Drosophila melanogaster: one gene and its partner. The protein of the gene in region 1 interacts with the protein of each later gene in a pairwise test. Each region holds a gene or a part of one and is shown on either strand. Other genes may lie near its edges.

Region 1 (18,359 bases):
ATTGGTGGTGTGCCTGGCGTTTTTTACGCACCCAATAATAAGGCGGAAGTTCTTTTATTCTTGAAACGAAGTGAAAGTATCGGGCAATCGGATTACTTGGCCAGGGATCGCCGAAATTATTGTCATTCCGGTCATGGCAAAAACCGGAAACAACCTGAAATCCTGCGGGCCCAAGTCGCTTGTCTTTCAAATTGCTGCTGAAGCGGTGAGCTTGTTTGGTTTCATCAGGATGCGGCCGTGGCCATGGCATTCCCTGAATTCCGGTGAGACGGTGACGGTGACGATGGCGCTGACGGTGGTCGGAAGTGGCCATCGGCGCTTTGCTTCTAACCCGCACTCCTTAACTTGCCCACTCTCACACACACATACACGACCACCATCATACACTTTGCTTGGCCTCCTTGTTATTTCTGCAAAGGAAATGCGAACGTGAACTGCATGTCTGGCCTGGATTCGATTGGGCCAGCCAGCAGCTTCAACTGGGCCAGCATAGACGGGCAAAGGAGTCGGAGTTGGCAACACAACGGAGCGGAAATTAAAAGAAGCAAAAAAAAAAACAGAAAACAGCAACGGAATAGGAAGAGGAACCTCTAAACCGTAGTCGCACCTGCCCATTACAATGAATCCTGCGGCAGAAATGCAAAAACCAAGCCAACAGACTTGCAAGCACGGCCAAAGAAGACCATATCATTGCATCATCTGCATCAGATTCTGCATGGGATTCGGCATTTCGTGTGCTGAATGCAGGATAATGACTTGTTGCATTGCCAAGCTGAGCGGTTTGGCAGCTGCCAAGGCTCTTATCCTGGCGAACGGCAAATAAGAAGTCTTAGTTACACCCATCAATGTTCCGAATTCAAGTCAAACAAGTAATCAAATTTAGACTATTTGGATGGCTCTTCAGTCACTGGATGATGTGCTTCATCTTTGTCATTTGCTGGTCTAAGTTCGGCATTCCGTATGTATGTATAGAGAGCCAGGGCACAGCGCCATCTACTTGCAGAACCCACTCAATTTCTGCAAAGTTGCAAAAGCAATTACTTTTCGTTACAATTTTTGTGCTTCGTAAACATTTAATTTCCAATTTTAATTTGCTCCAATGCATTGCCACACACACACAGAGGCGAGGGGACGAGGACGAAGGACGAGGCGGCTGAAGAAAGGAGCAGGAGGCAGAACCAATCGTCATTGGGGACTGCTAGCTGAGGTCCTGCTGCACCAAAGGATATGCCCTGCACTCCGCTCCGCCGCCCGGACTCATATGGCTTGGGCTCCGTTTCTCATTTACATTAAATAAATATTGTACAATTGTATTGAGCATCTGGCAAAGGTGAGTCCCAGTCCGATGAAATGAGCTCTGACTCCGGTTCCGGTGGTAACTTCATCTTACGAACTGCCCTCGCCCTCGCCACCGCCCACATGCCACTCGTGTAAATATTCCCAGAAAATAAAAGAATTTCATCTGACATTTCATTGCTGGTTCGATTTATGGAAAATGCATGTTGCACATGCTTCGCTCTGCTTGCAACTTGCACTGCACTTTGGCAGCATCGAAAATAGCCGAAATATTCAGATCTATATCCCTTCGACACATACAAAACCAAATATCAATTTCAATTGGACACCTGGCAGAGCGGTAGTTTACTCACAGACATGTAAGACAGTCCTTGCAGACTCACTCACTCAATTATGTTGTCCTTCAAGTACTCTATGAGTTATTAATTGTGAGATGAATATATCCTACACTCGGTGCCGAAATCATGTATTGTTCAAATATTTTTCCTTGTGTGCCTCTAAGCCGCCGCTCAGTCCTGATTGAAGTTCACTTTTTCCGCACCACTAGAGATTTGTCTTTTGGAAACATACAGTTTTTCCTGGCATTTTCTTTAAATTCCATTTTTTTTGCCATGTTTTTGCAGTTGTCCTCGCACACAAGTAGACACGCACTAACACATACGATATCCTTTTTAATGGCTCAGTGGAGTCCTGATCCAATGACTTGTGATGTGCAAATGTTATCCTGTCTCCCAGGCTGTCTCTATCCGTCCGTCCATCCGTCTGTCTCCGCTCTGCATGTGTGTTTATAATTTACTTTGCTTTCTGACAAAAGGATTTTAAAACAATTATTTTAATGTTTTTCCCACACACACACACACATATATATATATATATACATATTTATATACAGGCAAGCAGGTACAGAGAAACAGACATTACGTCGAATTGAGTTGGTTTCATTGGGAAAATGTTAAAATGTCGAAATGACTTTTGTCAATTTTTGGCTTTTAAATGCAATTTTTCTCTTCATTTAACATTGGCTCTGTCACATATAATTCGGGCCAAATCGAAAACTTTATTTAATCAAACACAAGCACAAATGCAAATCCAACAAAAGTGCAATGTAAATAAATACAAAAAACAGGCTGCATTCGATTCGTGTTGCCTGTTTTTGCATCCACTTGCGGTATTATATTTCGCAAAATTATCCACAGTTATGTAAATGCCATTTTTCTACAATTATTTATCGAAGCGTTAAACAAAATACACAAATTAGATTATGATCCAAGTCAAAGGGGTCATTGCAAATGGCGAAAATTCGCAACTCAATTGAATTTCGACTCAACTAAATACCAAATGAAATGATTTTAAATTACAGCTTTAACAATGCGCTACAATGATAAATGACTCTGGTGATTATGGTGATTATGGAGAATGAAGGCTCCTTCGCTGTAATCGCAATCGCACAAACAAATCCCTAAGTAATTCCGCAGAATGGGCAAACACTTGCAGCGGTTTCCAGTTTCGAACCCTATCAAGATGGCAGCGGATGGCACAAAAGTAAGCAAGTCATTAACATATCGCGCCAATGAAAATGCAAATGCAACACAAATTTTCCAGCCAGCCAGGATAACTGGCTCTTGCTCCTGCTCCCTGGCAGGACTTGGCCCGCCTGGATGACCGCTTGTCCGGTGGCTCATTAAAATGCGCTGCCATCTTGCGAAAGTGAAAAATTGCCCGGCCAAAGAAAAAGTTGAAAGAATTGGAGGGAGAAGTCGTGGCAAGCGGAATAGGTGAGAGGAAAAAATGGAAAAGAAAAACTTAGTTGAGCTCAAAACGAATATGGAATACCCTAAAATCTTGGCTTTATCACAACGAAATACAAATATTTCCACGCAAGTTTACTTACCTTAAACTTATAATAAGTATAAGGAAATACATTTTTATTTGGTATTAGCAGTTAAATTTTATAGTTAGTGGTAATACCTTCTTCCCAAGAACTACTTACCCCGAGCAAGGATATTTGGAGAAGCACAAGCGAAACGGAAACAAGGGAACCGAAAAAATCCTTAGCGGCTATTGCAGTCGTCCTGCGCGAAATGTAGGAAAACGAACCTGGCAAGGTGCTCCACTTAACTGCGAGCTGCTTGTTGTGGCAATTGTAGTGGTACATTTACGCATTGTTAGCACATCGTAAAACAAATCTCATGAATATTACACAGATTTGTCTGCCGCTGCCCGCTGTTTAATGCATTTCCAGGATGAGGAGTGGTCATGTTCTTTCCTTGGCTGCGGGTTATTGCCAGAACGGAATCCTCAATGCCGTAGTTCAGTTTAGCCGGAAAGGAGAAGTAGATGGTGGTGGAGAGGGTGAAAGCTGGGAAGGATGCCCTCCCCCCCCTCCTGCCATCCTGTCCTGTCCGACGAGCGGTGCAGTCATGTGCAGGAATTAATTTTGCGATTACGCGTAATTACAGCCCGGAAAAAAGTCAACAAAGAAGGACGCGGCGCTGGCAGGAGTAAAACTTAATTGCGAGTAAGTGTTGCTTAATACTTATTATCTGCACTCGCGCCTCCGCCCCTTTTGGGGGCGTGGTGTGCGGAAGGCGCGGAGGGGGAGGGGGGGCGTGTCAGCGGCATTGCCGAAACTTAATTGTTAGCTTGCCGAAACTTTTCGACGCGATATTTAACCCTTTACTTTTTGTTGCTAATTAAAAAACTTTTGACGGATAAAGAGGCGCACAAAAAATGAAAAAGGAGATGGGCGGAAAGCGAAAATGCGACATAGATATATGTACATCTATATATATATATATATATATTTGTACGTATGGCTACGCGTCGGTTGTTTACACAAAAGCAATCATACGCCACGTTGCCCCGCCCAGTTAGCCCGCGCAGCACTGTCGTCACTGTCAACAATACGACATCAAGGCGGATATCCAGGCATTCGGTACTCTGACTGCTGACGTTTCGTTGAAGTTTCATTAATTAGATAAAACTTTCTGCCATTTCCCCCACCGTACATTGTTAATGACGCCAGCGAACGAGCTGCAAATTATTTGCACACAACAAAAGTCAAAAAGTTGAGCGACTCGGAGCTGGCGATGTTTGAAAAGAAGTCAGTCAGCCATGATATGATGATATGCCATAAGGCCAAGAAGGGGATCATTTTTGGGCAAAGCAAAGGAAAACTTCGCCCACCTGCGGCATTTTCCTTTTTATTTCGCCAATAATGAGAAAAGTCCAGAAAATTAGGTTTCAATTAAAACGGAGGCAAAAGGGTGCACAAGCCAAATCAGTCCGAATAGAGCAAATAACCGAAAATAAAAAAGAAACCAACCCGTTTGCCGTATTCAGTGAGCTAATCAAGGAGCTAGGTGGTGAGCAAAGAAAAACCGGAAACGCCGTGCCAATCAAATTAAAAAAAAAAAAAAAAAGGACCACATCAAGTAACCCCGGGATGGGATGCGAATGGGAAAAGATGTAAGACATGGATGAGTTCCTGGGAATCCTGCGGAAGATGAATTTTTAATTTGTTGCTGTTGCTTCCCGTTTTAATTGTTGTTGACAGACTGAGTGACTGGCTGACAGCGTAATTTACAATCCTTTCGCCCCATGCCAGCTTAGAAACTCCGCCCGAGCCACGCGAGTGATGGAAATTTTAATTAAAGAAATTGCGGCTAATCCCGTTACAAAAAATGAAGATTCCGCCCCAGGGGCCAGCACTTCACTGTGGCTGCAACATAACCAAAAAAAAAAAGAAATTTCCAGCTAATTGTGCGGGAATTTCAACGGGGGTAATACATATAACCCCTTCTATCCATCAACAATCTACCCATGTACGCATGAATATGGCATTTGTATATCTTGCATACATCAAAAGGTGGAACGACATCTCCGGGAAAAATCCTTGCCTCTCCGGCTTATGGAAACATTTCCAATTTCACTTTCACTTTACTCGCTTTTAATGGTATTATCCACAAAGGGGGCTTGTTGTTCAGGTGGCAGGGGGTGTGTTGTGGTTACCCACCACCCGACTCCCTTGTATTTGTCAAAGGATTTTGAGTAATTTCATTTTATGCCATTTGCACATAAATTTGCATCAAAATTTCAAATTCGTAAGATGGTCGAGGTACCACAATGGAGCACTGTCATAAAGTGCCACTTAAAAGTTAGGTCCCATGACTAAGCACATCTAAAACTATTTACCTATAAGTTAGTATCTATAAGAAATATAAGAGTCACATTTTTATAATCTTAATGACTTCTTTAAATTATGTCTGCTTTTACTTACCAGATTAAGTAATATCATTAGTTGTGCATTTGTTTTATTTGCAATTAATGTTCTACTTTTGAAACATACTTTTCGAAATCACTGTTTGTGTGTGGTTAAGGAAAATGTGATGTCGTGTTGACATTGTGCGGACCATAAAACCGGGCTTACCTAACCCAAATATTTGGCAGCAAACAACGCAGAGCTTAACCTGTTGATCCTGGCCAAAAACGAGTTTAAATACGTGCCAAAAAAAAAATGAGCTAACAAAATAATTGAAATTTATGGCCAACAGCTGCTCTCTCAAAGCAGCTTCCATCACAATGGAATGGCCATTATTTCAGTTATATTAAATGACGGAGTATTTGGACGCCACAGCGTCAGCTGAATGTTCAACCCCTCATACATTTTATTGCGATGAAGGAAAGATTCTCAGCGCATAAGAAATTAACTTAAAAAGTCATTTTGCCGGCAAAGGATGAGCTGCGAGCCAGGGGAAAAAAGGATTAATTGCATGAGGAGCTCCACCGAAGCACCCCCCCGCCCCTCGACGACCACACGAAGTGCACGCGGCCGTGAAGTGCATATCCTGGATTTTCCATAAGCCATTGACTTGCCACATCCTTTTGGCCAGGCCCAGGATCCAGGATACATCCAACCAGCCAGGCAACCAACCAGCCAGCCATCCAGTCAGCTCGGCATGTGTGTGCTCTGGCGGATCCGTATTTTTTAATAGTGTTCCGTGTGCCTCTTGGCGTTAATTTATGCCACAAAATCATTTTCTTTTATACTCTCCACACTACCAGCCACATGTGAAAATAAAAATTAAAAAAGTGCAAAATATAAAAAGGCAAAGGACGAAGGAGCGGAGTGCGGCGGAGTGGCATGGAGATGCAAATTGCGTTGCACTGGCCGCAGGATATGAGACGCAAACGCCAACGCAGTTTTATGTCAAGTGAAAAATAAGTGCGAACTATGACATGAAATATGAGCGTATCTGAATCTGAGCCTTATCCCCCCACCCCCCCGTAATCCCACCGACGCCCCAACGCCCACTAAAATGCTGCACACAAAATTTTATTAGTTTCTCTGTGTGGCGCAAATGCGACACAAATAAAAGAAAATAAATCGGGATTAGCTCGCAAAAATGAAATCGAAAACGTAAACAATTGCAAAGAGTGAAAAAAAGCTAAAAAAAAAAACGAAAAAAAAGCGAAAAAACAAAAACACATAAATAATTTATTATATGCCGTGCCGCCCGGTGATGATGAGCCGCCCTGATAAGCCGTACATGAAAAAAAAAAAAACAAAAGTACCTACAAAATATTACGCCAAACTCGACTCGGCAGCGATCGGATCGCATCGGCTTGGGTTTTTTGGATTCGGATTCGGATTGGGATTGGGTTTTTGGATTGGAATTGGGTTCGAGTTCGGGTTCGGGTTCAATTGGCAGCGATTTCTCGGACCTACTGCACAACTTATGCAATCTAAGACGCAGTACGGCGCTTTGATATGCGCTGATTTACTCAATTGTGCCGCATATGAATGTGTGCGAGTATGTATATGGCATGGCACATAGTACACATAGTCCGGCCGGAATGCACACGCCTTGATTCCGCTCCATATGCTGATATAGATCGCGAATAGTGTCCGGACAAGGCCGATGGTTTCACTGTCACTGGCATTGGCTGGTTAAGTGCCATGACAATGAATTCGATGCAGCGAGAGTGATGCAATGCACTCAGTGCAAGGTCAGGATAGGTCCGTGGCATGTGCCATCTTCATTCATTCAAAGATACAATGTGGAAAGGTAGCTTGCCTTACTTGCTTCACCCTATTCCTCTCAATAGGCTAATACACAAGTATCTGAGCGATGTTTCTGGAACTTCGGTTAATAGTTTTCAACTTCATGCAACAGAGATTCGTTTAAGAGCAGGGAATATGCAATTATACCATCAGAATTCGATTTCAATGGTTCATTAATCATGCGCCATTTTAAAAACCACTCATAAAGTGTTCCTATACTAATTAAGTCTTATTTCATTCACGTTTTCTGCCACTTACATTCCACTACGCCCCATCGATATAGACACATGTTGGCGCCTCAATGCCGCCCTGCATACGAATTCATTCAACTCAAGAGCGCTGGCCAAATCAAATCGAACTAAACTTAAGTGACCCCGTCGAGTGGCCGACCGCCCAACTATAAATAACCGGGTGGAATAAGCGTCCAAACATTAGCAATGAAATCATGCAAACCGAAAGATACAGATACAAACAGATATCGGGTAGTACAGAAAAGCAAGGCATGCGCGGCACATGGATGTGGATGGTATATGTTCGCGATGCGTGGCAAGGTCGTTTCGTTTATTTCGGTTGAGAACTGTTTGGAAAATATTCCAAACTGTATTTATAGAAGGCGGTCCAAGGATCGAACTGATTTTCGTGTTTTGAACTTGACATTGAATGTTGGCGGAGCGATAAGCTGTTGTTTTCAATTGCCATCTTCATCTTGTGATTCACACTGGCCCATCATCTCTGGAATTAGTTTGTCGATGATGCGGCTATTATTGTTTTCATTCCCAATCCCGATTCGGGGCACTTCGATCACCCAACTGTACTTGGGGCACGTGACGGCCGAGCTCCGCCAGATGATAAGGGTTTCAGAACTGGGGGCCGTCAGCTGATCATACCCGTATGCATATACTTACATAATCCTCAGATACGTGACCGTTCGAGTGAGTAGAGATTTGTTTTGGAAAATATTTACAATGCATTTATTGGAAGCAGTCAAATATTTCACATTGTGGGTAGATTTGGGGCTCTTAAGATGTCATACAAAATTATTCGTACAATATAATTAATATACATATAGTTAAATAAATACATGTTTATGTACGGTGTGTGTGTGTGTGTATGTGTACAGAGGAATGACACAACCAAATTAGTTTCAATCCGCTCAGCACTCAATTTTGTCAAATCAATTTAATGTTAGTGTTGTCTAATATTTTTCGAATATTCTAGAAGTCTCGAATATAAACTTTAGGTATTCAAGAATTGTCACTCTGACTTGCCCAACTTGGAGGCTATTTTGTTATCATTTGACGATGCTGTTCCTCTGCACGGGTATGTGTATGGTGTGGTTAAGTATAACTAAATCAGGACGCAGCAGACTTGGCCATTCTTGCAATCCGAACCGGGTCGCAGGAGCCTCTGGTGGCATCGGTCCATGCACTGTCCCAGGTGTTCCGCACAGGGCGCTGGTCTGACCGGCACTGCAACGGCAATGGGATGACGTTTGACGTTTTCGAGGGCGATGGGACACACAGAATGGATCGGGTTGTCAAGGGTTAGTGGCGATATTCGGGTAATTCGGTAACGATGCCAATTTGATTGTGGTTAGATTTTTAGCGATGCGAAGCAGGTGTTGGGTTTGATCGGACTGATGGGGTTTTTTAGGATTTTTGGGGATATTTTGGGGATTGTTTGGGGTTTTTGCAGGTTTTAAGCAGGATGGTACACACAGCAGAGAGCCAGCAATCTACTCACGTTCGTAGCAGCACTCCACGCCCTCTCCGGCACTCGTGGGACACAATCCCTTGTTCGAGGTGGGTTCGATGCAGTCCGACTCCGCGACACACAGTCCTCCGACCATGACGCACTGTCGGTCATTGGGATACACACGCACACCCTGCAGCACTGCGATTTGAATGGGTTAAGTGGTAGTTCGCTATGGCCGCCTGATCCACATCGCACACTTACTGTAGTAACTGGGGTCATTCACATCGTTTGTCTCGATGTTGGCCTGAGCCTGGTGCAGCACTAGGATGCTGCTCACCAGCAGGCAGCACAGCAAGCTCCTTCTCGGCGACATATTCGGCTATTTGGGGATATTCGGCTGTACTACCGGGCGTATGCGTGATACGTTTTGAATTTCGTTCTGATTCGCTCTGCTTTCAATGCACTTCACTCTGGCAGCTTGGCAGCAGCAGTAATCCACTTCCTCTCGATGGCGCGGTTTGCGTTGAACTGATCCCAGCTAATTACGCCACAGAGGCTTTTCAACGAAAAATTACTTTGCCGACGGAGACGGGAGAGCAACAGCGCGAGAGGGAGAAAGAGCGAGCGTTTTTGCACAACTAGACGCGGAGAAAGAGAAAGAGACGGAGCGAGCGGAAGATTGGGACGTAGAGTGTGAAAGGGCGGGGGCGACGGGAGGAAGTCGAGGAAGTGCCGTTCAATTGAAGACCGTGAGAGAGTTTAGAAAATTGACCAACTCCGATCGGCTTCGGCTTCATCCGCTTCAATCAGCAACGCTCTTGAGTGCACACGGAGAAAACCAGAGCGCGTTGTTACGATTATTGTTGTTATTAGCTTGTACTTATCAGTGGTTAATATTTAACATCTATAAACGCGTTTCTACACTGGAAAAAAAATAGTAATGTAAAGATTATTCGTTTTACAGCAGCGGTGATATGCATATGAAACAGAATGCATAATGATGATTTAGTATAGAGAGCTCTTCTGTTATGACTAGCACCGTTGACCCTTTTATCGAATGCTTTTTACCATTAGCTTTTAAAGATAGTTACAGCTTTGAAATTTCTCGCGGTGCACTGGAGATCGCCCAATGAATGGACCCACAATCAAGCGCTCAACTCGGGCGACCAATCAACGGGGCAATCAACGACCATCGGCGCGGAGCAGGCGAAAGAACAAGAACCGCATTGAGCGGGGCGTAACGTGATTTTACTGCAATCCGATCTGGTTTGGCACAAACATCTAGCTATCATCTTGCTCTGCCAGCGCTCAGTTCTTGTCGGCGGTGTTTGTGTAATTTTCGAAAACAATTTGTGTGAAATATGTGCGTGGAAAGTAAACAAACGCCGAAGAATCGAAATATTACGCATACGCGGTGTGCTGGCTGTGCCCCAGAAACAACAACAGGTCTGTTTTGGGCCAGATGTTACCTTCGCTCGATCTAAACAACGGCGGCTGGAAAGAAATTGAAATTCACTGGAATCGATCAATGAATGAACCGAACGCCTGACCCTGAGCATCCAAATGGCAATGGGAGGGGGAAGTGCCTTATTTATGTTTGCTTAACTTGCCCCATTATTTGGCCAGCGCAGTGTTCAAACAAACAGTGTTTTCTCTTGGATAAACGCACGGCGAGCACTTCAACTCCAGATCACCTGATACTGAATGAAGGGGGTTCAGTTTCAGGCCTTGTCAATCCCAATCCGTTCGCATCAAGTGTAAGTTAACATCAGAACGAAAAAGCTTCCCCCGAACGCTTATCAGTACTCAGTTTTGAATTCGTTTCCGCAGAAAGCTTTCACCCGAGCGAAACTAAATGGTTTTGGTCTACGGAATCTGTTTGCTCGAAAGCTTTTGCCAAGCAAGTTGCCAGATAACTTGCCCCCAACTTTGAATATTCCCCATAAGCCCCTGATTAACTGGAAAGCCGAGTTCTTGGTAAACATTTAGCAAACATCCCGTTGGATGAATCATTTACGATATGGCTATGATTTATTAAAGTTAATTACTTAATCATCTAGTTTCAGTTGAACTGGCATTTGAATGCATATGCGCACACAGATATCTTTCATTGTCAGTCTTTTTGTGGGGATCTTACGACATCTAATACTTGGCCCTTTGCCATAAACAGCAAATATCACAGAGTCGGAATAGTAAGGCCGGATCCAGGGATCCACCGTCGGCTTATCGGTTGCTTAGTCAGCGGACTTCTGCAGTTCATTGACGATGATCACATCGCAGGTGACTGCGGCTGGCAATGGGTTGGAAGTTGGGGGCGGCGTACCCGACGGTGGTGCACCCAATTCACCGGCCTTGTTGCTGAACGGTATCACAAACACGCTCGTCTTGGCCGCGTGCTGCATCTTGATCACCGTATCGTAGCTGGGAGGCGCAAATTCGCTGTAGGATGGCGAGGGCGTGGGTGGTGCCCTCAGACCCTCGGTGGATTGACCTCCGGCGGGACGACGCCTCATGTCGCGGCATCTGCGATCCGAACAGGCCATCAGCATGAAGAAGGCGGCCAGGGCCAGGAAAGTGGCCACATACCACACAATCGTGATCACATCCATTGCCGTCTGGGACAGATCGTTGGGCGACTCGACGACAGCTGAAAGTGTTAGGTATTAATTAGTTTTGATCGTGACTACTATAGGGCTTATATCGCAGCCAAAGCATAGACAAATCTCCCCAGTCTAATTGAAATATAAGGTCCAGACTCTATATGGAAATAACTAGAATTGCTAGAATTTCATCCCAGCAGCAAGTTATCAGTTGGTGCTGTTGTGCTTCTAGTCACGAATTGTGGGTCTGTGCTATAAACTTTATGACGAAACTGCTCGACTGCAATACTTGCGCGTCATCGAACTACGCTAATGGCTTAAATGAGCCCCATTGATAGGGGCTAACCCTAGTGGCGGGTATATAGTAATTAGACGGGAATCGTTGTTGATTGCCGGTTTCAAGGGTCCACTGAAATTAAGATATTACCGGTGGGCGAGCGTTACAAGGGTTACAAATGTTTATGGCAGTTGAAATGGCCTGTTCAATCGATCTCGTTTATTTTCACTTTGTATGGTACTCAAGTCAATTCTACTACCAAAGTAATCAGTGACGTTTTGTAGCAAATCTTATCGATATAAATCAATTTAATTTATTCTTTAACATTAATAAGACTCTAAAAATAAGTGGCTGAGTGGCTGACAGCCTAAGTGAAATAGAAATGATTGAACGATTTACTCAAAGTATCTTTTTCTATCTAGCACAAAAATCTTAGTCTGATGCCTCATGCACATTTAGTATTGCATCCTTCAGATACTCACTGTTCTTGTAGACAATAATCCGCGTGTTGTTTGAGATGGTGTCGGGAAACAATTCCACCTCGGTGGTTCCGTTGGCGTTTGTCAAGTTGTAGGGCAGTGGGCGGGCGGACTCGTGGAGAACGTTCTCCACGCTGAAGAGATAGGACTGGCCGTCTACGCAGCACGAGCTGGCGATGATTACTGAAAGGAAACAAAACGGCCACGCCGAACCAAACCAAACCGCACCGAAACGAATCGAATCGAATTGAATCGGAATGAGGCGGAAGGGAGGGGAACGGAGCGAAGCAGACAAGCTGTATTAGCGATATTATGGTATCAGGAAATCAAGACAGAGCGGTGAGCTCACTGATAGCTTATCATCGCCACTCTGGGGCGTGCGAACGAATGGATCTTCCTCCAGGTGGGAGTGATCAAGTCAAACATCTTCATCGGCGACTGATAAGGAATCTAAATATAACCAGTGCCAGCAGGGTGTTCCCCCCCGTAAATGGATCGCTAAATAATCTCAGCCAATCGGGCGACTAGGTTTACGGCCAAAGCCACTTAACGATAAGGCCCTCAATGACGACCCGGTGTCTGAGGCGGCTTTTGGGTATATCTCCAGCCCTGATACGACTGGAGAAGATCTCTAGTCACTGCGGCTAGTGGGGTAGGTGTTAGTTCGTCCACAATGGTCGGGCATTATCTTCCTGGTTGCGGTTTGCAAAATATTTTGACGCACCCATCACAAACACAAACACCATAAAAGCCAGTTAAGCTGCCGCCAATAAAACATGGCTATCTCATTTAAAGCCCATTCGATGAGTTGGCAACCAAGTTTGCACACTTCTTTGGCGGCGGCCATATTTCACCATCGAAGGTGCGTTCCCTCTTGGATCGGGATGGATGGCTGGAGACGCACACGGCACACCATCTTTATTTTGAGACCAAGTATCTTTACAACGCCTGTCAATTGCGTGTAATTACCTGATTGCGCGCCCATCACTTCGCTATCAATTTCACCACCTAGCTGATGAAATTTCGGTCGTACGAAATCGTTGACCTAAGTTGGAAATGTGACGACGAGTCTCGATGAGAGCGACAGCTGGTCAATTCCATGAGAAATTTTTGTAGCGCCAGTCCAGAGGAAAGTTGCGCAACTGACTATGAGATAATTCATACGCCCCGTTGTCTAGCCAAAAAAATGTAATTGCTTCATAGATACGAAAGGAAGGTGAATGAATTGCAGTACCAACTCATCGCCACAAATCGCTTGATCTTCTTTTATTAGTAGGAAACTCCGTTCTGGAAAAAATTAGCTGAATGGAATCGTTGTGCTAATTTCTGACAACATTTGGATTCATCTAGAGTCTAGATTCTAGACCAAATGGTCATGTGAAAGCACAGATGTGGAATCTTTCTGCTAGTCGAAAACAAATATTTTCCACGCTGATAAGACCGAAAGGCATCTTCGGAGCTAACTGAATGTGTAACCAGGTAATTAGGAGCAGACCTGGACAACCCTGCTCCACTTCTGCACGCACTACAAACTAGATTAAAGCACTTGATATGTGGCCGCTAAAAATAACTGCCAAAGCTAATGTTTGACTGCGGGTTATTCTTGGGGTTGAGTTTTCAGTCAACAGTGGATAATTGGCGGGTAGATCGGGTGGGTTCGCTTATTTATAGAGTGTCGAGTTCGTGGTGATAAGGTGGCGGTAAAGGAACGCATGCAAACACCATTGGAACGCCAAACAAAGCGAACCCAATGGAAGTGGAAAAACAAGCGGACACAACAAAATATAAGCAATTAAATTCTAATTAGCCACTAATGGCAAAACGTGCTGAAGTCAACGTCAGCAATTCCACTTCACTACTGCGTTGGCACCTGTGCAAACGGAGCATGGGCCATTGGACATGGTATATGGGATATATATTGTTTGGCCCGCATGCCATGTGCTCGCTTGGCTAATGTATCGGAGCTGCAGATAGGCGAACTCCAAGCGCCTTGAACCCGCTTTCTGCTCAAGAAATCGAATTTCGGGAATTTCCGTGAGTGTTTGCCATTATGCCCGAGTTGGGTGGCTTAGTTGAGAGTAGAGTATAGCGCTTTCCTCATAATAACGTCATTTATCATTAGCATTTGGGGCTTGCCAGTGACTTTGGTTTAACCGGTTTTCATAACTTGCGGGAAAATTGCAAGTCGAGTAACCGCAGCCTCACCCCCTTTAAAAGTCCCACTTTAGTGAAATGTCAACGGAACGAGGGGCTTTTACTTTGATTCGCTTGGATGATATTTACGGGGCGATCACATGTCGGTTAATGCCGGCTATCACAACTTATCTAACGGGCTTAGCAGATGACGGTATCGTAAAGACATCGTTAACTGGTTTACGACTACGACGTCTGGATGGAGGACCAAGATGATATGGTCTTGACGCCAGAAGTTCCTCAAACAGACGCCACAGGCTATAATGGTAATTGCGTGTGATAATACAAGCTTAATAGCTATTAAGAAAATTGTTCTATGGTTTGTGGAAGCACAGTTGCTCTTAGGAAACTATATCTTTCGTACTGAAACTAATAAACAGCTGCTCAATCAAGTCTCGATTGTGTTTGTTTGTAGGGGCAATCAATTAATCATAATAGAACGTTTAATAATATTTATGAGGCTTTAATGCCAGGCAAACCGTCACCATTTACGCCAAGAATGAATTAAGCAATCAGCGGTGATATTTCCTGTTTTTTTTTTTTTATTTTAAGCATAGCTTAGAACGACTAGTTCTATGGGATAATTGGCCGTATTATAAAGAATAACTTTCCTACACAAAACGCGATTTCACAGACCCATTCAAACATTGCCTCCTATTGAGCATTATCGGTATACATATATAGGTACCTGCAATCAGCCAGAGTTTGTGGAAGTTCACGTTCGCATAATTAGCATATGCTTGTTTGGAGACTTGCTTGTTATAACGATATATACATAGGTATAGTAGCCAGAGAAGGCCTGTCCCAGACTCACCACCTATCATAATGGGCCACATTGTATGGATCCGGCTGTGTGGCATGGTGCTGTTGCTGCTACTGCTCAGGTAACTCGGAATGTTGTTTGTTTTTAATTCACACACTTGTCGGCTTGAATTGCAATCAATGAATTTCCATAAATCGTTCACTTCACTGAGAACTGCACCGGGCAATTGGAAACGGAGGCGGGCTGGGACTTGACTTGGACTTGGACTTGATTTGGATGCGGATGCGGACTGACCGCCGTATCGAATCGATCTTTCAGCTTCAACTGTGTGTCGCAGACTGAGCGCGTCGCTCGCCATGTCTACAGCTTTTAGCCGGAGCTGCTCTTGCTGCTGGTGGTTCCATCGCTGCCAGCGTCTTTGTGTGGCCCCCGTGCGTATGAGTCACGCGCTCTCCGCCGGGCGAGAAAGTGTAGTAGTGATTCCAGCGATTGGCGGAACTGGTTAGAGCAACGTATATAATTGCTGGCCAAAACATCAAACAATGCGTTCTGAAGGCGGAGGTGCTACCACCGTTGCCACCGCCAAGCCCATGAATGATTGGAACGTGGTTCCGTTCGGGTTCTCCGACTACGATTGTTTCATACAAACCCCCTAAAAAGAACCAAAGTTTAATTTTATAATGATTTTATTTTATTATTTTATATATACTATTTCGGCTAGTAACCACGCGGATAGAAAGCATGAGTGCATAAGTGAGAATTGAATTTTAAAATTAATATATCATATGTATATCCAAAGTTACTAAATATTTATCTTGCTATTCGAAAATAATCTTCTTGCTGCGCAGTTTATGCAAAATATCATTGTGAACTGTAAAATTATCAATGTTAAAGAAGTGACAATGTGTCGCAGATAAGGAAAATGTGATAAGAAAAGTTAATAAATTATAATCAATGTTGGTTGTTTATGCCCTTTGTGTGTAGGTCTTACATGCGCGCTTAAATTAACAAATGTTGCCTTTTCACCTTTAAGAACATCACGAATATCGGTTAAGGTAAGAGCCACACCTCAATTTGCAGATCCTTAGTTACCTTGGTTATTTTTAAAGCTTAAGTTGGCTTTAAAAAAACTGCGAAAGTGGCCCAAAGAACTCTCTGCTCTGCTTAGGGTTATTTTTGGGCGTGAACTCACACCTACACGCCCCTCTGCGAGGTGCTAATACGCTGTGTGAATTTCGTGATCCGACCAAGTGGAGTCGTCAGAAGAAGATGGAGTGAAATTTCTAGGATCCCCCAGTGGTCTGAGATTCGGGTGATGGATGGTGGAGCGGTCAAACTCCTTATCAGGGTGCTTGACACAAATTAAGGCCAATCTATGAGCGACGGAGTGATTTGAGTTCGACCCTGAACTTGATGAATAGATCGAGCGATCGATCAATCGATCGAGCTGCTCGGCTCGGCTCTTTTGTGTGCGTGTTATAATTGGCACCTGGGCGTTATATATAGAGATGTATCCATGGAGCAGCTACCGGTTGCCAAGAGAGCTGCACATTCGCTAATTGAATGGCATACTGCGACTCCAAGGCAATTGGACAATTGTGGGCCGACATTGAACGGGGGCACAGATTGGTCAGCAAATTGTCTCGCAGCTACGATGGCAATAACCAGTTTGGTCAATTGTGACGAGTCAACGACCAGGCGACCCCAGCACGTGCCACATCCAACGCGATCCATCCACGACATGGTTGGTAACAAAGTAAAATCTAATTCAGAACAGTAAGCGGACCAGCATTGATTAGCCCACGATATGACGCAGTGGCAGTAACGCAGTTCCTCTAGTCGTGACCAAACGCCGATTGCTGGGCAGATGAGTTGGTGATGCGGGGGATCGGATTGCCGGTTCGACAGGTTATTGGATAAGGCACGTGCTGATTCACGATGTGTGTCACCATGTGATGAAACCGACACCCTGCAACTGGGGAGGCTAAGCGAAGAGTGAGGTAATTCCCAGCCGCACTTTCGCCACGCTCTGCTGAGATTTAGTTGGTTTATTTATCAGTTAATATACGTATTTGAGTGAGTTGCGTGTGTATACATATGAGTTAATTGGCTTAAGACCTACTGACCACTAGCCCGAACTTTCAGTTACATTGCAGTTACATGTGTGGAGTAAATACTGTAGTTCGTACATTATCTTGTGAGCGTATGCGCCTACATCTTATACTCGAAATTGAACAATTGACACTTTCGGCCAGCACACAACAATGACATCTACAAGCGCGTGGTATTCTATGCGTACAAATACATAACATATACATATCTATGCAGTACAGAAACAGGTACAACTATGTGGAATGCTCGGCCCAGTCTTGGCTGGCCCTTGGAATATTTACGCTAGCTAATATAGAGACTAGTACTGTGTGGCTTTCGCTTTTGCTTATAAATAATTGATGCTTAGGTAAATAATTGATATAATTTCATTGAGTATGGTAATACCAGTGAGATTTCATCAGTGAGTAAACAATTTGCATTCGCCAAAAGGGCGCTTTTAACAATTACAATACAGTTAATCAAATAATACGGAGAGTGGAACAATATAAAACTTATATATATGTACAACAGTAAAACTGTGGAAATTCTCGGGGAGTGTATTCTGGAATTTGGTTCAAAGTGAACACATCGAGAAAGATGTTTGATCGCTAATGCTAATCTCAAAACATAAAATCAGTCCTAACATATTTACATGGATTGCTGAACGGTTCAGATAGAGATACAATTACCTAATAGGACTAATACAACAAGTGTGCGATACCAAGTACTTGCTGATCTGGCACAAAGCGGAGCGACACCCGTCGCGGATCTTTATCTTTCCGGGAACAGGGACTCATAGCTGGGCGGTAGATCCTTTGGCGTGGCGGGTTGCTGTTGCTGCTGGGTATCGTGCTCGTGCAGGACGCTATCATCGTAGTGCACCGATGGTGGCAGCTCAATG
Region 2 (14,294 bases), 3.3 Mb from region 1:
CAGAGCGCACTGTACCCCCGAGTGGGTGATCTCCACCAGCGGGTAGTCCAGCAGGCAGCCTTCCACGCGCTCCGGCCGCTGGGGACGGAACGTATCGTCCGCGGCCATGTTATAGGTGGGCTTGCAACCGTACCCATTCGCCTCGAACCAGGAGACGCTGCCAGTGCCCAGGTTGAGCAGGTCACTGTCCTGTGAAGAGATTTCCTTCTAGTTAAGAAGAGATATGTCTATTGTGGAGCCACGAAACTCACCCTGTTCAACTGCCCCACATTTAAGTAGAAGCAAATGAGGAAGGTATTCCACCCGATCCACAGGAAGTTCCATATTAGATACTGCAGGCGGGCACACAAAATAAAATGGGGTTATCGCAGAGATATGGTAATCAGGGCACTTACGGTGATGATGTATTTAACGCGAAAGTGGTAGGCGCCGTAAAACCCGAATATGATGAACAAAATGTGGAAAAAGTTCACTAGGATAGGCGCCCACATGTAGCCGAGGAAGTCGAATACCTGGCGCTCGATAATCGTTATCTATGGGGAACGGCTGTAGATTTCGAATTGTAATCATTCGGATCGCGGTCTACTCACCACTTGCAGGAAGCATATTGACAGCAAAAAGTGTCGCCGCGTACACGAGCACGAGCCCATCACATCGTCATTCCATTCAGAATTTGAATAATAAATAAATCCACTCTCCCCGTCGCTATCTGTCTTTCCAGCTAGCTGTCTACTTCAGTCTATCGCTTCCTTATCGGGACTGGAACTGGTGTCTATCGGCGGCTGTAGCTGGACCTTCTAGTGGCATTTCCGCGTCGCCTGCAGACCTGCTGCAAGTCAAGCGTGGCAAGTGCCGCTCTACCTCTGCCTCTTGGCCTCTCGCTCGCACCTCGAGAACGAACAGGTGCAGGGGAATCCAGGGGCAGGGTGGGAGCGAGAAAGAATGCAGCTGCCCCGTCGAGCAGCGAACAAAACCTGATCTGTGCGAACCGAGTGTAAATAAAGAGAAATTAAGCCAAATGAACTGCGCTACTGAGAGAAACCCTGCTTAAACACTGCTGTGGAGGGTACTAGTTCTTTGAACCTCGGGTACTGCATTGTGGGTTCATGATTTCACGAATACAAATTGAGTCATGCTTCCTACATTTCCGAACGCGAGGAGATGTTTCAGAAATATTTTATTCTGTAAGTTTCCTTAGTACTTAGTAATTTATTTTGAATCAACTTTGAATAAATCACCCAATGTTCACAGTAATTTACAAAACAAAAGAATAGGGAAACTTTATAAAATGCTCTTTTCCTGGGAAAGTCACGGGTACCAAACTATTCCACCTAGGTACAAGCAAAGAGGAGGTGCCCATCCCCACACCGCTGCTCACACACACTCGCGCGCATTGAATGCTCCCTACCAACACACACGAAGCGAGGGGCTCACGTAACTTGAACCAAGCACGCACTATTTTCGCCCATTTCATCTACGCGAGCACAAAGTGTTATATGTATTGTCGATTTCAACAGCGTCTGCTTAGTGTCCAGGTCAAGTATGAGCAATTAATTAATTAGCACACAAACACGCCAGAGATGCTCCCGCATCTTCATTCCTGTGCGGGTACACCATGTCTATATTTGAGGCCCTCACAGATCGATCGGTGGTTGGACGTACATGTCTTGGCGGTACCAAATTAAACTGTAATCAAATTAAACTGTAATTCAATGGACAACGCATGACGCGCTTTATTTGTCACTCGAATATGACTCAAAGCGAGAACTCAATTTCATTTGTTTTCCACTTGCGACACGGAAGCCCCACTACAACCATAAACACACACAGACACACACGAGCAGGAGTGAAATACGCTGCGTTTAGATTCCATATGTTTGGAACGGCCCCAACGCAGCGAAATCGGCACGGAACCACTCCACTTTACATAATGCGCAGCCACGGCGATTTATTATCTCGGAAAATAAGTCTTTTTAGACTTACGTTGGGAACAAGTGCTCGAGCAAACGGGACAAACAATTGAAATAACTGAGCAGTGTGACCGTGCTACAAACGATAAGAATTCCTTCGGACCTGGCAGAAAATGGCGTTATATACCATTTCAGTTTGTAGAAATACCAATCATTGGAAATGGTATTTAACGTTACTTTTTAAAAAGTCATTTACTATAATCAAACAATAAAATGCACAACTTAAATATTTTCGCAGGCCATAGGATGCATCATCTATAAAAACGGTTGCATTGAGCCTTCTCAATCGGTGCAAGCACCTTACAGCGATCTTTAAGCTTTCCTCTTTTATCTTTCCAAAGGACACGTCCAGAAGGGAAATCCCCGGGAAGTTAGGTCCAGATACGTGTTGATTAAAAAGAAGAAGACGCGGGATTTTGGTTAGTTTAGTTTATTCTGTATGCATATTGTATAATTTGTGTGTTTTACGGTTATCATACATGAATAAATATAAATTAAATTATGCTCTTCATTTACAAAGTGTGTTCTTTGCACCTCCGCTTTCAAGTTGCAATTTTGCATTTCGAGTCCTCGCCTTGAGTTCTAATTATTTTCGTGTTTTTGGCCAAACACCATAAAATATATATTTCAAACTCAACATTACGCTCAACGTACATTCATATGCTATGCGCATTTTATTGTGGCTAAGTCAGTTTCGATTTGGAATTCAAATTCAATGTTCAATGCTCCAAGATGCTTTGCATTCGCCTAGTTAATAGAAATATAATATTCGTGTTGTGTTTTCTTTAGCTAGTTTTTGAACTCGCAAGTTCTTCAATTCGGTTGTATTCAGTGTATTGTTTCGGCCGCAATGGTTTCTAACTCTGTCCTTTGCCCAATGTTTCATGATTATTTACAGCAATACAGTAAAATGTTCGCTACAGTTTCCTTTAGTAGTTTTTGGGGCTGGGAATTGTTTCCGCTGATAGTTTCCATTAATAATCTCTCACTAATAGGTAAATAAATTGTTTCTTCGTATCGATTTCTCTTTTTTGTACAATAGACGCGTGTTCTTTTTGTGTGTTATCAGTCGTTTTTCATTTACTTTACATGAATGTGCAGGGAAATTATTGTTAAGTTTTACTTGTAAATAATCCTCTCCTCCTCTAGTCGCGTCTCCTGCTCTACGAAATATATTTGCATGCGCATGCAAAAAGTTTGGATGCCGGAATTGTATTTCTAAATTGACACAGATAATTTAGGATCGATCACAAAGCGTAGTAAAAATGAGAGAAGATAGTACACCACACAGACAGGTAAGTAAAAAGGTGTCCGCCTTCGTGTATATAATACAATAATTACATGAATATATATCTATATATAAATATGTGTGTATGTATACATATATTTATAATAATATAATATGTTAGTTTGCTTCGGTTGGTTGTCCCTCCTCCTAAGCTCCTCAGCTTCTCCAGACCGTAAATCCAACGATTCGCAGTGACAAAAAAAGTTGATATACAATAACCCACGCTGCCATGCAACACAGGATTACGCTTGCCGCATCGTAATAGAATCATCAGCGTTGTGCAACTGACAGCGGGTGGAAACTGGGCGGATGAGATTGGGATTGGGATTGGGTTCGGGTTTGGGGTACTCACGGTTTACTGGAGCTATTCTTACTGCATAGCAATTACATTACATTACCGGACTTATGCATATATAGGGAAGGAAGAATAGTGACAGATGTGTGTAGTGTCGTGTGTGTGGTTTGCTTGGCTCCCGGAATTAAATTCCCTGAAGTATCTGTAATATGCGTAGATGGCTCCCAGCACCTAGTCTGGTCTGTTTTTGAATCTGTGTAAGAGGATGTGTCTGTTGGCTGACAATGGATCAGTCAAACTTTACCAATTGCCCCAAGAGGGAAAACAATGTCCAGTCGCCTTACTTCTTGCTCTTGCGCTTCTGCTTGGGCTCCTCCCCTCCGGTCGCTGAGGCTGCTGATGCGGCTGAAGCTGCTGCTGCTGCAGTGCCCGTTGCGTTCAGGAGATTTATGTTCGGCTTGACCGTTCCCTTCTTCAGGGTGGCCGGCTGCTGGGGGGTAGCCTGCGTGATGTTGTTATTGGTCGCTGCTGCCGCATTGGCAGCTCCAGCGGTTTGGGACGACAGGTTGTTTGACGGCGTGGCCGGCGTCTCGTCCAGGAAGAGCGGATTCTTCACCTCCATCTCACCAGTGGGCGCCAGGCCGGGGCACTCGTACACCGTGTAGTCGCCCTCCTCGTTGTCGTCGTCGCTCTCCACGTCCGACATGCCGCAGCTACCATCCGTGGCCTGGTTCTCCATGGCGATGATCTGCTGCTTCTGGTGCTGGTAGTGGTACATTTGGGCGCTCTGGGCCAGCTTTCTGTCACCGGACGGCGAGACATCCTTGTTCGGCCCGGTAACGCCGTAGGCAGGGTATTCCACGTCCGCTGCTGCCTTGTGTCGATTATGGAACCTGTCAAGATATATTGGTTAGCTCCTGGAACAGGCATTGGGAGCTTCTCTGGGTTACTTACCAAGTTACTCCGAGGGCAAGAAGCCCAACGGTCACCGCTGCACTAACCCCCGCTATTAGGGCCACTATGTACACCCCCATCTCGCTGTTCATGCCCAGGTGCTGGCGCAGCACAATCTGCTCCTGACTGGAATCACCTCCGTTGACCAGCGTCAAATGAGAGGGCGCTTTGCTTTGCTTTTGCAGCTTGTTGATCAGTGCGTTAAGTTCATGGGGTGGTTGTTCTTTGCTCTGGGGAATATTCACTCCCGCCACGGCTGCGGCGGCGGCGGACTGGGGATTGATGCGGTGGAAGTTGGTGTTGGCGGCGTCAAGCAGTTTGGGCGGCTCAACGGGCACGGGAGCCGGTACTGGCGTATCGATCTTGGTCTTACTGGCGGTGGTGGCTACTTCGGTTGTGGGCTCAATGGGAGCATACTCCTCGTAGTCCTCCAGCGCCCGGGAATCCAGCTCCCCCGAAGGGTCGTTCGGGTTGTCAAAGAAGCGAGCGTCGCTGGGACCTACAGCAAAGGGAATCCGTTCGCGGAGCACACTGTTCCTGTTCGGGGAGTTGCCCAGGCTGGGCCGATTCGGAAGGCTGGGCAAGGGTGGTAGGTTGGGCAGGCGAGGCAGGTACAATGGAGGACTTTGGAGATCAGAGACTGCCTCCATCGGACTGCCGTAGCTGGCCTCTGCCTCCGCGTTGTCGTACTGGTCGTACTGCTGGTTCAGGTTGTTTCCGTTGGACTCGTAGTCCTCCTCCGCCTCGCGCTGTACCTGGAGCTCCTGCTGCCGCTGGCGGTACCGCTCCTGCTCCAAGAGCTGCCGCTGACGATCCATCTTCAGGTTGATTTCGTGCAGCTGTTGGTCGAACTGCTGCTGCAGCCGACGGCGGGCATACTGCTCCATCATCTGGGCCAGAAAAGCATACTCTTGCTCACTCTGCGGATCCATCACAGGCGGCTGAATGGGTCGGCGGCGCAATCCTGCAAGAATTCGGATTCGAATCGTATCAATGTCATCGGATTAGTGGGCACGGGCAGATGATTATGGTAATGGTAATGAGCCTGGGCTGCGTGTTAGGGATCGGAAAATAGAAAGTGAAATCGAAGTCGAAATAGAAATAGAAATAGATGGAATGGCCGAAATGCGGTGGTCTGCCTCCTACAGCCTTAAAGGATTCGAAATAGACAAACAAAAGTTCGTTTTATTGCCAGAGGCTAAAAATAGACCAATTACACACGCGCCCAGGTCAACCCGAGCAATTCCCGCAGAGTGAGGGAGACCAACATACAGTCGGAGGACTGGGAACCGAAGTCTGTGACGTGCGTGGCAATTCCATCGCACTTTGTTGTTTTCGTCGTGTTCAGCCCATTGTTGCGCTTGTATCAAGGAAGTATTTGTTATAGCTGTTGGGATGAACGGAAAAGCTTTAAGGCGCTTAAATGTATGCTACGAAAATCGTAGCTAATCCATATTACATATATTTATACCAAATGCATACATATGAATGTAAATTTCGAGTGGAGAATTTCGTTATTACCACTTATGTGTATTTATGTAGTTACGACGCTGCAGTTGGCTTGACTTTTTAGTTTTGCCGAAGCAATGAGCGTGGGTGTTTTGGTTTGATTCGGAGCACTTCGCAGGACTCGCCATGCATGTATCTAGTGCAGGGGATACACAAATCGAGGTGGCAGCTTTCCTTTCCTTTCCTTTCGCTCCTCCTGCGCCATTCAAGCCCGAACACTCAGGCTGCGTGTGTGGGTACATGGGTGTACGGGCTTATAGGTGAATGGGTGTGTAGTGCGCTATTTTTAGGCTTACCTGGGTAAACGGACATTTCGCAATGACCCAATATGCTGCACAGTAGCGTTGCAGCGAGCGCCAAGCTAACGGTGATTTCCAGGCGAGCCGCCATCTTGCACTTGCCACCAAATGCACTCCCACTTGCGGATTTCTCGAGACCTCAGAAATCAATTTCGAATGGGAACTATCTAGCACTGCACGACCTCTGCCACCACTGCCATATGGCCGGTTAATGGGGCTTTGGCTAGAACGACGACGTCGACGAGGGTTATTGATTTTCAACACCCACACTCGCACACACTTGCGAATATATCCAATTGGCAGCTGCTGGTGGTTGCTCCCCGAACTTTTGCACTTTCGCGTGGGCGTGCAATATTTCTGGCTAGTAACCTGCGCCAACTGCACTTCTCGAGGATTTTTGGGGGTTATTAGGTGTCCTAGCAAAGGTTATGCTGCACTCTACCGGGTGGTTAAAATGTCAAATGGTGCACTTTTCTCACAGATTGCTGGCGAAGAAGCTCAGATGGACATATGGCTGTGGGGATATATGCGGATGGGACTCGACTCCTGGGCTGCGTTGCTCCGCTGTCGACGTATACCGTTATACTGAAGAAACTGAATGAGCCTGGCGGCGGCAAAAAGCCCGAGAAGAAGCAGAAGCTGTGACGCAAATGTTAGGTTCGCCCCCGCGCTGTTAAATGTTGCGGGCAGCTTTTGAGGGCAGGCCGCGCAGCAACAACAACAACCAGAGGGGCACAGTAGTCAAAAGCAGCGCATGCGCACAGTGGGGCTGAAAAGCTCGGCACGTCCGTTCCTTTATTCTTTGAGTAAACACGGGCATTCATAAAGAGCCGAGACGAGGCCAAGGAGACTCTCGGCCAGCTAGCAGGTGGCTGCCACTCACGAATTCCGAAGCCCCGTCAGCCAACTCCACGCCCGCTTTGGGAGAACCCTCCCTTTCCTCCAGCTTCCTCGCTTGGGATAGGGCGTGCTTAATTTTTATCAATGAATTGGCAGCCAAAGAGCTTTTCTCACCGGCAAAGGACTGCGGGAGTTATGGTAGGCCGAATAGTGTATGTGTAGCATTGGTCCTGATGTCCGAATCGGTTGGGAGAAATACCCCCAAGTGGATCTCGGATTCTTACGCGAAATGATTTCGTAACAGATTATCGGGGAATACTCATCTTTTCCTTGCTTTCTTTTCATTGATTAGTCGTTGATAAACGGACTTTTAAAAGACATTTAATAAAAAAGCTTTTAAAAACTTAAAAACCAAAGGTAAGTCCTTTAATAAAGCATTTCATGGAGGTTCGGAGAAAATTAGCATATAAATTGAAAATACATTTAATTAGACCTGGAAGAATTTAAAATCGAATTTAATAAATTATTTTTAACGGTATATACTAGAATCGGTATATTACGTTTAAATAATTTTGAATGGTCATGTTTCGGTCATACTGATGAACTGGTTCATCTGGAACTACACATCTGAGTCATTTTTAGGAGCGACAAAGGAAAAATTATAAACAAATACAATGGCCACCTTAAAGGGTAATTATGCACAACAGTCTCTAGCAAATCTAATGGCTTACATTCTTCGCCTACATCAACACCAACTGGAACCCGCTACACGCCTCTTTTGAAACCATCACACAGCGTATGTCTACAACTACACCCACTCCTGCAGCCAACCGTCTGATAATGATTCCCCTCTTTGTGCAGCCTCTTCATCTGCGCCTTTCTTACATGCATTGGTGTTACCTTCCTGATCCTGGCCTGCGCCGTGCCCACGACAAAGATTTTCTATCCCTTCTTCGTTTTGCTGTTCTACGTGCTGTCAGTTCTTCCAGTCTTCATTGCCAGGAGGACAACTCCTGGAAATGAGACCAATCCGAAATCGGAGTTTGCTCACTTCCTTACCGCGGGAATGGTGCTGAGTGCCTTCGCCCTGCCCATCGTCCTAGCCCACGCATTGGTGGTAAGTGGACACACGGAGCTATTGGGATTTTAAGAGTGTTAAACACGCGATGTCATTCTTAACAGATCACCTGGACGGCGAGTATCCTGACGATAATAAGTAACATTATTAACTACGGCACCATCTTCTGGTACGCCATGCGCGATGACGAGCCATACGGATCCATGTTCTAGAGGGGATTTGTAGTTCACAAGCTCACTAGGCTAGTAACCGGCGCAGGAATATCACCGATGCACTGGGTCCTAGGGTTACGGCCATTTATCCGTAAGCACGCATGCTGTTCGCTTATCCGCAGTCATCAACAAATCTCATATAATCAAATGTATCCAGATAAACGCAAACAAAATAAACTGACGTAGTAGACATTGTCTGGTTCCGGTTCTTTTTGCTGGTTCGATATCGATATCTAAACCACTATTCCATAAGCAGTAATTCTCTCCACTGGCGTATCAAGGAGGGATTAGCTCTCAGTTTTCACTCACTTAATTGAACTGGAAATATTTATAGTCGAAAAAAAATAGCCTGGATGGTGTTCATTTGGCTGCACTGGAACTAGGAACAAGCATTCAGTTGTTAAATATACAAATTTGTAAATATCCTTGCTGGATAAATGAATAGCGGTGTGGCGTTCCTTTTTTCATTGGCGAAAGTACACGTCCTTTGACAAATGGAGTTACACCTCATTTGAGCCCATAACATGGACAGGATTATAAAATCTGAAATCAAGAAGGAACAGATCACGGGTATTCCTTCGGTGGCCCTTCATGGCATCGAGAACTCGATGCAGGACGATAGAGATGTCAACACTGACGTGGAGGAGGACTTCACGGAGGAGGAGTTGGAGCTATTCACAGATCAGGATTCAGACACGGGAGATTCTGATGTGTCGCTCACGCAGCCTGAGGCAGCGCGCAGTGTGCTTTTGAGCAATGCTCCTATGCGCAAGTACCCTTTTAAGCTGAAGCAAAGCGAATCTGGGTGAGTATGCGCTCTAGGCACATTGCGGAGTTGTTGCCAACGAAGTTTGCGAATTCCAGGAACGTCCTAACCGTTCACCACACGATCAAGGAAGCAGGTCAGGCACTGCGCATCCAGATTGCCGCCTGCTGCTTCAACGAACTTAGCAACAAGCTGGTGGTAATAGACAAGCGGTAAGGTTGACAGGGGAAACAATAACGTAATACTCTTTTAAACAGTCTTTTTTATTTCCCAGTGGCAATGTTTTCGTCTTTGACTTTGTACGCAAACGCTACTGGCGGCTGGGATTCCGGATGCCCAAGGCCAAGCTCATTCGGCCATCCCCTCTGCACGGTAGCGACTACATTGTAGGCAATAAAACGGGCCACATTTTCACCATAGACGTGGACAACTCAATTCTTGGGGTCGACGGAGAAGTGGGAAGCGCAGCGCTTGAGGAATTGAGTTGGAGCAATAGCCTGCAGAATGCACGCTCCTCTATCGCTCTGATGCGTTTCGGCAGCGATGCACTTCTGGTGAATCTCCATACTCTGGAGGTTTCCCATCAGCTGGATTTCGATCAGTCGCGCTACACGCTGAAGTTCGCTGCCTTCCTGCCCCACTCGGACCAGTTCTTTATAGGGTTTTCTAACGATTCTCTGCATGTGTGGTCCTCGCATTCATTGAGCACTTTGCGGATGGGCCAGCCTATCAAGGCCAGGAATCGCAAACTGAGACTGCTACCAGCCGCAGAATCTATACCGGAAATAGTTCTCCGAAGCCCGGATGACAGTGACTTGGAGGAGGACTTGACGTTTGACTGCCAGCACTACGACTTTGCCGATGGAATGCTACTCAGCTACTGCTTCACCCCCGACGGCAACAAGATGTGCCTTAGTACCTTGGATGGCTATCTTTTATTGCTGAGCGTGGCCTCTTTTGATCTGGAAAAGATGTACCGCTTGACGGACTTTACTCTCCACCAAATGGCTTTCCTCTCGCAGCCAAAGGAGCGCATAGTGTTTGGAATCACCACCAGAAACCAAGCGGTCATGCTGGATTTAGCCAATACGGATCACAAGCTAATTGTGCAGCGCTCCAATGCACGAAGTTTGAGTCTGAGTCGGGATGGCAAGCTGTTGAGTGTAACGTCTCGCTGCGGAGAAGTCAATGTGTGGTCCACGTGCCGCATTTTTAACGCCCTGCAAGCTCAGATCCGCTGCCTCAGCCAGGTGAAGTCCACTTTCAAACAACCGAATCCTCTGCCGCCCTGCAGCGTCGGTGGAGGCGTTAGCAAAGAACTGCGAGATCTGCTCAATCCGCAGCGCCTAAAAACCATGCTCAAGGAGTACGGTTGCTATCCTGAAAAGTACAGGTACCTAATTTGGACATCCCTCTTAGACCTGCCCTGCAATGGGCCTCAATTCCAGGAACTGATCAAACTGGGGGCACCTCTCCTGGTCAGAAATCGGGCCAAGAAGCTTAAGATTCGCAACGATCACCAACGCCGTGTTGTGATTAAGATTTGGAGTTGCCTTGCTCAATGGTGCAAGGTCTTAGCTCACGCAGATTTTATGCCACACCTGATTTTTCCGTTTGTGAAGCGAATGCCCAAGAATAGTCTGGTTTGCTTTGAGTTAATCGCTACCCTTGTATTGAATCATTTTCAGCTGTGTTTCGAATTTCATCCGCTGCCGCCCTCCAATTATCTGGCCATGTGCGAAAATATCCTGCAGCACTGTGACGAACAGCTTTGCAAGTTTTATAAATCCCAGGAGATGTTGCCTAAAGATTTTGCCTGGCCCCTTCTGAGCACTGCCTTTTCCGAGGTCCTTGAAGAGGAGCAGTGGCTATCGCTGTGGGACAACATATTTTCGGAACCACCCTGGTTTCCAGTCTTTCTTGTAGTGGCCTACAATTTGATTAATCGAGAGATAATCTTGCGGCTGCCAGACAAGCGATCAGTCCTCTTCTTCTTCCACGATCAGAACCCTGTGGACATCAGCAAACTTCTTTCCAAGGCGCGCAAACTAATGTCCAAATGTGCGCTTGCACTTCACCCACAGCGTTTCATGACACACTTCAGCCCCATTCCGAAGGGTGTGTATCCAAAGTTTCTCAAATATCCCAGCGAGTGGATCGATGAGCAGGAGTATCAAGCAGTATCGTTGATCAAGCACAACCAGGAAATCGATGCCCGAATTCGCCATCTTGAGTTGGAGGAGGTTAAAATTATGGAACGCCTTGAAACAGGACTTAAGCAAGAGGAGCACGCTCGCCGCCTCAAAGAAATGGAGAGAGTTTACCAGGACACAATCCATCGCGAGGAAGAGCGCATCACCTGCCAACGGAAAATGCTGCTCACCTACCAAATGGAGGTGCGTCGGCGCAAGAGCGAGGTCATCACTAAGTTACAGGAGTCTGAGCAGCGACGCAAAATTCTGGAGATGGAGAAGGACATGGACCTGCTGATGCACAGTATTGAGCGTGAGCGTCGGCGTCACAACCAAGAAATGCAGCTGGCCGAAGATGAAATTCGTAACCAGGAGATGGAGCTCCTTGCCCAGCGCTACTACTCGGATACGGAGGGTGCTCCACTGGCACAGAAGTATTACGACAAAATCCAGAAACTTTGCTATCAGCGTGATCAGCTGCAGAAAAACTTGCGTGATGTATGTGATAAAAGATTTTAGATTGTATTCTGTGATCTCCTAAGTCTACTTTCTTCCGAACAGATGACCATGGAACAGCTGCGAACTCCAGCAACATCATCTGTGCAATTTAGTCCCCAGCTGGTGGATATCGAGAATTCCATTTTTGAGATACAGAGAGAGTTTACGGAAATCATAACCACAGACAAAACATTGGAGTACAGAAGGAATTTAACTTAACTGAGGCTTTTTTGTACGAATAAACTACAAGGCTAGGATTATGTACATGGCACTAGAAAATAAATAAACAAGGCATATTGGTTATTTCTTGGCCGCGCTTGCGTTGCTGGCGGACGAAGGCACTAACACGTTGGGCACATTGATGAGCAAGTGTATACTGGATGGTGGAATCCGCAGCTGGTCGGCCACCACTATAAACGAAAATAAATTAACTTAACTTCAGGAATGGTTTATTAAAGCTTACCGCCAGCTAAGCTGCTGTGACTCCTGTGCTGCTGCAGTTCCTTTTCTAATCTGGAAATTCTTTCGTGCAGTTCTTGATTCTCCTGCTGCAGCTGGGCGTTCTGTTTGATGAGGTCCTTATGCTCGTTTCGCATCTTGTTACGGTAACGAGAGGCTGCTGCTCTTCGTCGCTCCATACAATCCTCGTCCCGACTGCGATCCTTTGCTTTCGCAGCCTTGGGCGGTGTGGAGAAACTTCGTCTGTTATTATTGCTGTGGATAATGGCCTTCAATCGCTCCTTGATGGGCAGCTGTGAGGTGGGCGTCAGACTGGCGCTACTGGGCTCGTTATTAGGTGGGTTGCAACTGACCAAAATAGGCTCGGGTCTTTTACTGGTCTTGTTTAATTCTTTCGCAGTGGGTTTCGGCAGTATGAAGGGATGAATGGCACCAGTCGGCTTCACCCTGTTTCTGTTACAATCAACTGTAGCGATGGAAATGGGAACTGACTGCGCAGGCAGCACCCATGTTAGGACCTGGGGCTGGATCAACTGCAGCGGCGGCGGACCATCTTGACTGGCTTTGGAAGGCGAGGTAACTGTCGTGGCCAGAAGCTGGTCCACATCCATATCGCCGCAGCTGACACTTTGTGGGACCTGATTTTCAGACGGAACTGATACCACGGTGGGGGCCTCGACGGGATACACCTGGGGCGTGTGCAGGGACTCACCGTCATTGGGTCGAGCCTCTGGGCGACTCGGAGTGCCGCTGACATTTCGCTCCGCTGCTTGCTGGAATCCAATGTCAAATGGATTTACGTGCTGCAGGTCCTCGAAGAGACCCACCTCGTCGCAGTTCTTGATGAGTCGCGTAGGCGTGGGCGTTTGGTCGGCGGCAAATAGAGTGTCTGACTTCTGCCCGAGAGAAATGTCTAGCGAAACATGTTCCGTCTGTGCCCGAAAGTTCTGATAGCAGGATACGTCGCCCTCTGGGGATTTTGTCTCAAAGTCGCCGAAGGACACACTGGCCAGGTGATCCATGTCTCCGGCGGTGTCCATGTCAGAAGTTACATCAAAATCATGCTATTTACAAATCAAACTCCATAATCTGCCGACAATTCTCAATTAAAACAACTATTTTGTAAATCACATTAGCAAAACAAAAAATAAAATTGTTATCGATGTATGGATGTGTTATTGAACCTATCGGACTCCATTAAGAAACCAACTCTGGCTGCAGTGCTGGAAAAGGTACTAAGTTCTTCTGCCGTAATTACGATGTAAAATGTATTTTATTACTGGTAGAACAAAGATCATAACGTAGAACTTAAAATAAATCAAATAAATACTGAATAATCTTCATTGTGTAACAAAATAAGTAAAGGAATTTTCAAACCTCGATATAATGTATATTTTATATGTTGTTTACCTTAGCACAGTAGTGATGTGTGCAAACCGATATATCGATACCGCGAGTGGGTGCAAAAAAGGCGCGCGAATGTTTTCAATTTGAATCTGGTTACCAATAAATACTGTGTGTAAAAAATACCCCTCTGTCATGAGACCCTTATTATTCCTAGCCTTTCTGTGTTTGAAGCTGTTATGCAACCACTCTTGACATTCGGCATTTCCGCAACGAAATTGCGTATCTGCCATCGCATCCAAAATGCCAAAATGCGAGTCTTCGGCACGTAGAAGCAATCATATGTGAAGAAGAGGAAGGTAAAGCGAAGAAAAAACATCGAAACATTTTTGGTAGCCAAGAAAACCCCATAATTTAAAATTTGTATCTTTTAAATTAGATTTCTCATTGGAGGAACAAGCAGAAAACAGACAGCGGACAAAACAACACGCAAAATGATTTCAAGCCGCTCGCATTTTGGGAAATATGCACGCAACGAAACGAGCAATTTTCTAAAACTCTGCCGCACAAAAAGCAGCAGACTCGACTTG

Evidence for each region.
Region 2: the proteins of CG15673 (region 1) and CG30423 interact in a two-hybrid assay, tested with the Drosophila melanogaster proteins (one large-scale study listed by BioGRID).

The regions. Positions count from the first base shown.
Region 1 is NT_033778.4:21,597,365-21,615,723, forward strand, and holds CG15673 (uncharacterized protein), read right to left. Parts: upstream 15,708-18,359; 5' UTR 15,441-15,707; coding exon 15,419-15,440; intron 12,595-15,418; coding exon 12,415-12,594; intron 11,703-12,414; coding exon 11,290-11,702; 3' UTR 11,029-11,289; downstream 1-11,028. Other genes in the region: CG10433 (uncharacterized protein), read right to left, coding at 8,708-8,829, 9,104-9,253, 9,317-9,428; CG18870 (uncharacterized protein), read right to left, coding at 18,230-18,359.
Region 2 is NT_033778.4:24,869,316-24,883,609, reverse strand, and holds CG30423 (uncharacterized protein), read left to right. Parts: upstream 1-7,744; 5' UTR 7,745-7,829; coding exon 7,830-7,845; intron 7,846-7,950; coding exon 7,951-7,951; intron 7,952-8,016; coding exon 8,017-8,272; intron 8,273-8,337; coding exon 8,338-8,445; 3' UTR 8,446-8,634; downstream 8,635-14,294. Other genes in the region: NKAIN (Na,K-ATPase interacting), read right to left, coding at 1-189, 252-332, 396-533, 591-650; CG44247 (uncharacterized protein), read right to left, coding at 3,894-4,446, 4,508-5,471, 6,313-6,406; CG16896 (uncharacterized protein), read left to right, coding at 8,970-9,250, 9,310-9,423, 9,486-11,901, 11,965-12,120; Atf-2 (activating transcription factor-2), read right to left, coding at 12,202-12,311, 12,365-13,400.